2 linked regions of the Arabidopsis thaliana genome follow. The protein of the gene in region 2 interacts with the protein of the main gene of each other region in a biochemical or structural test. Each region holds a gene or a part of one and is shown on either strand. Other genes may lie near its edges.

Region 1 (4,534 bases), 3.0 Mb from region 2:
CACAGCTGTGTGGTGGCTCTTCAGAATAACGCACTGTTCTCCAATGGTGCATGTCAGGTGACAATCCTACATCCATGTCGGACCTTTATGTGGAAGTATCATGCAACTCAAATATAAATCGATATTGTGATCTCATGTGGATGTATTTTAAGGTTTTAGTATTCGTATTTTGGCATTTATTTTGTTTCTGTCTCCAGATTCCTGTGGCGTTGCTTATTGCACAGTTTGCAAAGGATGGTAGTGGTGAAGCTGTGCCATTGGGATTTTCTGACGTGGTTAATCTTTTTCATGAGTTTGGCCATGTGGTACGTGAATGAAATTGGTTACGTGGAACAGCAGAATAAATTCTGTTGGTATCTTTTGTATGTATCAGGGGATGTTATTAGCTGATATTCCTTGCTACTATTGGTAAATAGGTCCAACATATCTGCAATCGTGCTTCATTTGCTAGATTCTCGGGCCTACGTGTTGACCCCGACTTTCGGGAGATTCCTTCTCAGTTATTGGAAAACTGGCAAGTAAACTGATAATTTTTTCTTAAAATCTTTCTGTATTAACACTAAATCCTAATAGACGGAATATAATTCTTGTATCTCTAGGTGTTACGAAAGTTTCACGTTGAAGTTAATATCAGGTTATCGTCAGGTGAGCGCTTCTCACGACTAAATTGTTGACAATTGTTCTTGTCGTAGACTAGTCATAATAATTTGTTTTAACCTGGGATTTATTCCTGCAGGATATCACCAAGCCACTTGTGGATGAAGTCTGCAAAACACTCAAACGTTGGCGATATTCTTTCTCTGCACTAAAGTCGCTTCAGGAGATATTATACTGTGAGATATTAATTGACTTTTAATGATGCTTATATACCTTTTCATTTTGACTTCATTGTAGTTTTTAAACTGAAATATCAATTCCTCACAATCGTTAGGACAAATGGTTTGTTAGTAAGACGAGTAGATTGTGGTTCTTATTATGCTTTAGAGGAAGCAGTAGTTAACTAAGAAGTCTACTAGCGGGTAAAATGTGGTATTGCCTAATGATGCTTGAAATATGGATGATCAGGTCTATTTGATCAAATAATATATTCGGACGATGATGCTGACTTACTCCAGCTAATCAGGAGTCTTCATCCAAAGGTAAAAGCATAAACTCTCAAAGCAATCTGGTCTGTTTACGGCAAAGAAATTTTCTCATACTAGTGTCTTTCTATATATAGGTAATGATAGGGCTACCAGTGGTGGAAGGAACCAACCCTGCTTCATGTTTCCCACGTGCTGTAATTGGCTCTGAAGCAACATGTTACAGTCGTTTATGGAGTGAGGTATGATTGATTTGCACTGTGGTGATCCGTACCTTCCATGACTTTAGTCTGAGAATCCACCTATTTCCACAGGTGTATGCTGCTGATATATTTGCTTCAAAATTTGGAGATGGGCATCCGAATCTATATGCCGGCTTGCAGTTCAGAGACAAAGTGAGAAGCGTATTTGTTTGTCTTTCCTTTGATTTAGTAGTGTGTGAGTGTAAAAGGACTAAACAAGTAACAACTACTTTCTTATTAGGTGTTGGCCCCAGGAGGAGGCAAAGAACCAATGGAACTTCTCACCAATTTTCTTGGAAGGGAACCATCAACACAAGCTTTCATCGCTAGCCGGACAAACTATAGTTTGTAGTATTTTGCACCTAACATTAGGTTCCAGTGAATCTGGTAGCTGGTGAAAATAAACATTTCTTTGGTTGTTAGAGACATCGTTTATTGATGTTTGTTAATGTGTTGAGAGGACCTAGCGGTTTAGGTGGAAACTGTAATCATTCATTCTTAGTTTCTTACCTTTCTCTGCATCGCAATCTCAAATTACGAAGAGTTATATAACATAGTGATCATCATTGAGCATGTACGGTGTTGAAGATAAGGACTTGTCTCGATCAATTTACAAGACAGATTCTAATATTATGGTTTTCTTCTCTTATTAAGACAAGAATAGTATTGTCTTTTTGGTTTACTTTGGAAATAGGATTGTAACAGGCCTTAAAGGTAAGTAGTTTCAGACATACGTAAAAGAAAAGAGTTTCAGATTACCTTATGAAGTACGGTTCTGGTTCGGTTTAAACTGGTTTGAACACGTGGCAGGTACAAGTAGATAAGGTACGAATCCACGAAATCATCATCTTCCCCAAACCAAATAATCTCTCGTTTCTAAACAAACTAGTGGTGAGTGAATCTTCTCTGGTGAGTAATGGAAGTGAGTATGTCTTTGAATGCGTTAACTCGGCTTCCTCTGAAGAACACAGGAAGATTCGAAGAGGTTGGTTTAGCGAGACACTCTCTGTTTAGCTCAAGAACGGCATGCCGAGAGACGGCGGTACAGCAGCGGCGGATGGTTTTTGTGGTGGAGGCTAAGGGAAAGAAAGGTATGGCGGCGCGTCAGTATCAACGTACACCTCCTCCTATGCCTAAGATTGAAGACGATGGAAACCCAAGATTCGTTATCTTCATTCGTATGGCCAATGTTCGTCTCTTTTCCACTCTTTCTTCACTTAGCTTGGATTAGGAGATAATTAAACGCTTAAACATGTTAGCTTTGCTTTGGTTCTGTTTCCAAAGTTATATACTTTTTTCAATTTGATACTCCTAGACCAATTATTAGATTGCAAATCATCTGGTTTCATCAAATTTGGATTTTTCAACATTTCAGCTCTTTGTTCTAGTACGTGTTTGTTTATAACATGAATTAAAATTGTTAGCTTGATTGGTTTTGTTTGCAAAGTTATGTACTTTCTTTCATTCGATCCTTTTAGATCAATTATCAGATTGCAATTGTGTTCTGGTTTCATCAATGCGAGTGTTCTTTTCAGCATTTTACTTTTTGTTGTAAAAAGTGTTTCTTGTGACGTGAACAGGTGTATCTTTGGTATCCTCTGAGTATAATAGCTGGTGGTACTACTGCTAAGATCATGGTTGCTGCAAAAGATAACCTCTTGGGGAAGTATATCTACAAAGACACCATTGCAAGAAACATTGCCGCTGTTATTTACAGAGTAAATTACACAAGCTTCTGCTTATTCTTGTGTGGTTGATTCCACTATTAATATGTGTCTCTTTAGATGTTATTTCTAATTGTTTTTATCTTCAACAGGATGAGAAAGAGATTCAAAAGACAGCAATTAAGCAGCATCGTGTCTTGCGTACAGCCACCGAGTTTCGATATGGCTACAAACTTGTAGTAATGCTCTCAAAACCCTTTTTCTTCAGTTATTGGAAGCTCTGCTTCATTTTGTAGTTGATGAGACCGTAGGAAAAGTTTTCTGGTTTCGTTTTCACTTATTATGGCTGTATTATACATTCAGGAAAACGGAAACATGAGAGCTGCACTTAGTACTTCAGATGTTATTGAGGTGAGCTATACTTAACTACATGAGATCAGCTCTCAAACTTCCTACAGTGACACCAAAAGGATGCTGTTATAGATGTTTTGTCTGAAACGTTTGTGTTTTGTCCTGAACCATCGCAGCTCCCAACCCAGGACCAGCTTAAAACAGTGTTCGACAAAGTTAAAGACTACTTTGGGGATGCAAAAGAGTCATTCGGAAAGCTATCATCGCTGAACCCGGGGAGTGACGAAAAAACTGAAGAAACCTCGGATGAGAAAGCCAAGTAAGTATAAACAGGTACTGAATGTTTCTTCTTTTCATTTTCACTAGAATTTTGGTGTTTTTCACCAAAATGATATACAACCGTTTTACAGGGCCTGAGGCTGAACAATTGACACTTGGTTGGTTGATTTTGATGTCTCAACCGTCTCGGTATGGGCTGCAGAAGGTCACTGGATATGACGAGACTACCGCTATTTTGTGCACATTTTCTCTATACATCTCTCACAGAAACAGCTTCTGTTAAATCTCTTGTAACATATAACTTATTGTGTATTGTAGATTTGTTGAAAGAAAGAGCCATTGGTTACAACTTGCAATTTCAACTTTTCTTAGACATTGGTCAAACAATAGTAGTCGAAAATAGGAAAACTTCCCACTATATCTTTCGAAGAAACCCTTAACTAGAACTGTGAACAAGATATGCAAAAGCTTCGTGAAGGTGAGAGCAAGACCATTTGCAGAGATTTAGTAGAATCTCCCTGATTGCTCCAGTAGGTAAAAAATCTAGTTCTGCGCAGTATTGGCGACATCTGACTGTCCGAACATTGCAATATGGTGTGTGTAGCTTCATAAATTGTTTGTTATGAATAAATTAGAGCTTTGTCAGGTAACTAATCCATTGCCTGCATAGAAAGATGTTAGATAGTTCAAAACTCTGAAGTTTCCCATCTTGGATCTGGTGGCAAGTGGCAACTGTTAGATATCTTCGATGTAAAACGTTTCCCGTAACACTCATTTGTATATCTGCTCTAAGATTGTGAACTCTCACATTATTTGATGATAAGGTTATGGGACAGATTCTCAACAGATAAAAGAACATCACATGTGGCAACTGTTAGATATCTTCGATGTAAAACGTTTCCCGTAACACTCATTT
Region 2 (4,321 bases):
GACCTACTAGTGTAATTTTTTTGAATTTTAAAATTAAAGATTTAGGTAGGAGATGTCAGAGCGGGTTAATCCGTCCCATTTAACCTAATCTACAACAAATTGCGATACTTTGCGAGTTTTGACGGATCATTCCATCGAAGACCTCGATATTCAAACATCATTCTAAATCCTACTCAAATTTCAATTGTCTCTTGTACTCATGTATTTCATGTATGAGAATTATTTCACTGTCTGAATGGGTTATGGATACTACTGATCATAACCATATCGCAAACCCATTTTCAAACATCTAAGATTATAATCCTAATCAGATGTATACGGAGCACCACTAGATTTAAGAGAATGGGGACATAAGCTGGTAAAGAATTGGGCCACCATTAAACGTGTGAAAGAAGAATTTGGGTTTAGGCCCATATCAAGCTAGATTCTCATGATACTTGGTTAAAAAGCAACCTTTTTATTTTTCTCCGAAGCAATTTACATTTGAGATTCATGATTTATTCATAGTAACGACTAAAAGAAAGAAGATGATGCATAGTTAGTTAGTACAGTGTGTTTTCCCCAATAGTTTCCCACGAGTCAGGCTTAACGTTTTCCTCTCGAATGACTCTACGTACCTCATTTAGTGACTTCGTTTTCTTTCACCTTAAGAATTGGATCATCGAGTTTAGGTATTGTTGTCTCTTTCTTTTCCTGTTCACAAATAGAAAAACGAGCAAGATTTTTTATTGAAGTTCACTCACAAGTCAAATGTTAAAATGAAACAGAGAAGAGTAGAGAGGTGAAGAAATAAATATACCTCAGCCTTAGATTTTGGTGTTGATTGTTCTGTGATATACTGTAAGATCTCAAAGAATTTGGTCTGCCCTTGGTTGATTGCTTTTTGGAGATATATCATTGCCATATCCTTAGCTCTAGTCTTTACCTTCACCAAGTTGCGGTCAATTTCATTTTCATGCTTTGCTATATATGGCCTGAAGAAAGAATCGTAAACGTATGTTGTTCCCTGAAATGATATAACACATAGGTAATAAAAATTAGAGAAAAAGTCAGTTGAATCAAAAGATATATAAGATATTACTTACTTTAGTCTTTGGAAACCAGAGATAAATGAAGAAAGCCAACTTCGCCTCGCTATACATTGGTAACCTTCAAGACAACATGAAAACATAAGAATACTAATATACAATACTGTAAAACTCTTTGTTTTCTAAGTAATATAAACAGCCTACCAAGAAACAAGAGCATCACCAATTCTTTCGAAAATCGTCAAAGCAGCTACAATAATCCTGCAAAGATGTTTTGAGTGGAAGGAAGCAAGATTTATATAGGAACCTAAAAAGGTTATAGATAAAGGATAGAATGTATGCATATACCAATACTGGCACCAGAACTGAAGTTGTTGAATTTCAGGCTTGTTGAGTTCGACCGTTTTGAAGCACTCATAAGCAGGATATGCATATCCAAACACCATTCTGTCAATAAATAGAAAGATTCATTACTTAGTTTGATTGAAAGAAATGTGTGTTTTATAAAATTAAAAGAAGAGATCAATAACATACAAAAGCCCTCTTGTCAGAAACGATCCAATCATTGTGATCACCTGCTAAAACGTTTAAAAAAAACAAAAGAATCTGCTTGTCAGAATTAAATTCTCGACCCCGATTCATTGAAATGATTATATCATCCAAAATACAAAAAGACAGAGACAAAACAATCAACTAAACAATATTGATGCATGCCTTCAAACGATTACACTTCCTAAAGGCTAATATGAAGAAGAAGATATTAACGGTTTAAGCGATTGAACAATAACACATACCTTATCAGAAAAACGGTTTCGGCGAAAAAGGAATGAGAAGAATGATTTCGAACGAATTATAGACGACGGTTACGTACGATAGTGACTTGCGAATGGAGAAACAAAAGATGGAGAAAAGGCGAAGCAAAACGGTATCGGATAGTGACTTGCGAATCCTTTTTTCATTTGTTCTCTACTTGTGAGTTTCAACTTGAAACAGTGCGGTTTTTAAATAGTCAACAATCACGACTTTTAGACGTTATCAGCCGTTGGATTTATACTTGACGGTTGTGATCGTCTACGTTTAAGCGGGTGTATCGTATCTCACCACACCGTATCTTGTTTTCCTCTTCTCCAATACGCTTCGGAAAACTGGATTACAGTTAACAGTGGATTAGTGGATAAGGAGATAAATACTAAATATCTTATTAAGCCACGTGAACAAATCTTAGCCATGGAAACATAATCTAGTGGCTGAGATTAACCCAAAACTACTGGTTCTTCTTCTTCCTCTCATCCATCTTCGCGCGCTTAAGCGATTCTCTGCAAAGCTTCATACCAAACAAAGAGAAGTCGAAATGCCAGTTTCAGCTCCATCTCCGCCTCGTCTTCATTCTCCGTTCATTCACTGTCCCATCAATTTCACTCCTTCTTCTTTCTCGGCGAGGAATCTCCGGTCGCCGTCAACATCTTATCCCCGAATCAAAGCTGAACTCGATCCCAACACGGTTTGATCCTCATCTCTGGCTATATAGACTTTGTTCTCTTCTCACTAGTTTTTATTGATGAACGATTTTGATTATCTTTCTAGGTAGTCGCGATATCTGTAGGCGTAGCAAGCGTCGCATTAGGAATCGGAATCCCTGTGTTCTACGAGACTCAAATCGACAATGCGGTGAGTCTTCTCATTCTCATTGTTGAAAATTTGATACCGTTTTGGCAATGCTTCTAAGTGAGTGCATTGCTGTGGAATAAAGTTAACACTGTTTTGATTTTACACTTTCATAGGCTAAGCGAGAGAATACTCAACCTTGTTTTCCCTGTAATGGCACCGGAGCTCGTAAGTGGATCTCTCTCAACTTTTTGTTAGCATTTTGGTTGGATTTGTGTAAGAGCAAAATGTTTGATGTGTCGAAAATGTTTATAAACATATTATGATGTTTCTGAAGAAATAGTTTCTTTGGTGGTGGAGCAGAGAAATGCAGATTGTGTGTGGGAAGTGGTAATGTGACCGTAGAGCTTGGTGGAGGAGAGAAAGAAGTCTCAAACTGTATCAACTGTGATGGTGCTGGTTCCTTAACTTGCACTACTTGTCAAGGCTCTGGTGTTCAACCTCGATACCTTGATCGAAGGTACTATACTATACGATTACTGTGAATCAGGAGCCACTCTGTTTTTTGCACATTGTAGAGATACTAACACATTTCTCTTTTCTTTTCTTTTCTTCTGGTCAGGGAGTTCAAGGACGATGACTAAATACCTTGCTCTAAGGAACATTTCTTTTCTTCTCCCTTCTCACATTTCTTCATTGTACAATGCTGTTTTGTTCACCAAACATGTTGAGAGAACATCATGACATGGATATTGTAATTGTGAAAGAAAACCACCAGAGTTCAATCAAATGTTTCTTCTTGTACTTACCTAGTAACCATGTCTACCTCGTCAAGCACATTGATTCAGTTTGTAATACTAAATCTATCCTCTTGCGTTATGGAATCAGCTTTCCTTGACCTCAAAGCAGTTACCATGTCCGACAAAGCGCCTGCCATTTTCCCCAATGCTGCTGGATCAAATATGGCTCGGTCTCAAAGAGGTCTTTGAATCCGGTTCACTCTTCCTTTTTCTATCCACCAAATGTGTGTTTGCTTGCGCTACAATTGGTGATGATACATTGTCTGTTGCCAATGACTCTTCTGAACCCTCAAAGTTAATTGATTACTTACTGTTGAAGTTAAGCATATCATCTTTTTTAATTTGATTTAATATTTTTCTTCATAGGCATAGTGGCCCATATTTAACCTCACATAATCAAAGTTTTTAAAATTATTATTAAAAATCCAAATTGAAAACTTTAATGCTAAATCTACATAATAATAGGAAAAACAAGTTGAATGTTTGGAATCGCTTACGACTAATGCTGGATCCAAAATCCGGTTAGTTTTCATATCATTATGTAAATTTAATATCCAAACAAATAAAAACATTAAAGAAAAGTTTTTTAAATTCTGAAAAAAAGAAAAACAAAATCAAAATCTTAAAAAGTATTTTTAAAAATCCGAATGAAAAACTTGAATGCTAGATCTACATAATAATATGAAAACAAGTTGAATGTTTGGAATTGCTAACGGCTAATGCTGGATCCAAAATCCGGTTAATTTTTCTATCATTTTTTTTTTGGTAGGCTATTTTCTATCATTATATAAAGTTAGCATCCTAATAAAATAAAAAACAAATATAAAAGATTAAAATCCGAAAAAACAAAATCAAAATTTTAAAAACAATTTTTAAAAATCTCAATTA

Evidence for each region.
Region 1: the proteins of LQY1 (region 2) and AT1G67700 form a complex in vitro, tested with the Arabidopsis thaliana proteins (one study listed by BioGRID).

What each region holds. Positions count from the first base shown.
Region 1 is NC_003070.9:25,372,055-25,376,588, forward strand, and holds AT1G67700 (multidrug resistance protein), read left to right. Parts: upstream 1-2,017; 5' UTR 2,018-2,038; intron 2,039-2,083; exon of another isoform or gene 2,084-2,134; 5' UTR 2,135-2,240; coding exon 2,241-2,513; intron 2,514-2,904; coding exon 2,905-3,042; intron 3,043-3,140; coding exon 3,141-3,227; intron 3,228-3,351; coding exon 3,352-3,399; intron 3,400-3,515; coding exon 3,516-3,658; coding exon of another isoform or gene 3,659-3,662; exon of another isoform or gene 3,663-3,672; intron 3,673-3,749; coding exon 3,750-3,756; 3' UTR 3,757-3,996; downstream 3,997-4,534. Other genes in the region: AT1G67690 (Zincin-like metalloproteases family protein), read left to right, coding at 1-57, 198-305, 417-514, 600-645, 737-833, 1,066-1,139, 1,220-1,324, 1,397-1,477 and 1 more. UniProt on the Arabidopsis thaliana protein: Involved in photoprotection. Forms a complex with LQY1 that is involved in the repair and reassembly cycle of the PSII-LHCII supercomplex under high-light conditions. May function in guiding the release of psbC from PSII core monomers.
Region 2 is NC_003070.9:28,421,229-28,425,549, reverse strand, and holds LQY1 (DnaJ/Hsp40 cysteine-rich domain superfamily protein), read left to right. Parts: upstream 1-2,029; 5' UTR 2,030-2,379; coding exon 2,380-2,529; intron 2,530-2,612; coding exon 2,613-2,696; intron 2,697-2,809; coding exon 2,810-2,861; intron 2,862-2,996; coding exon 2,997-3,153; intron 3,154-3,255; coding exon 3,256-3,277; 3' UTR 3,278-3,820; downstream 3,821-4,321. Other genes in the region: HVA22G (HVA22-like protein G), read right to left, coding at 619-693, 800-1,006, 1,086-1,149, 1,233-1,475, 1,563-1,594. UniProt on the Arabidopsis thaliana protein: Protein disulfide-isomerase probably involved upon formation of a complex with HHL1 in maintaining photosystem II (PSII) activity under high light by regulating repair and reassembly of PSII complexes.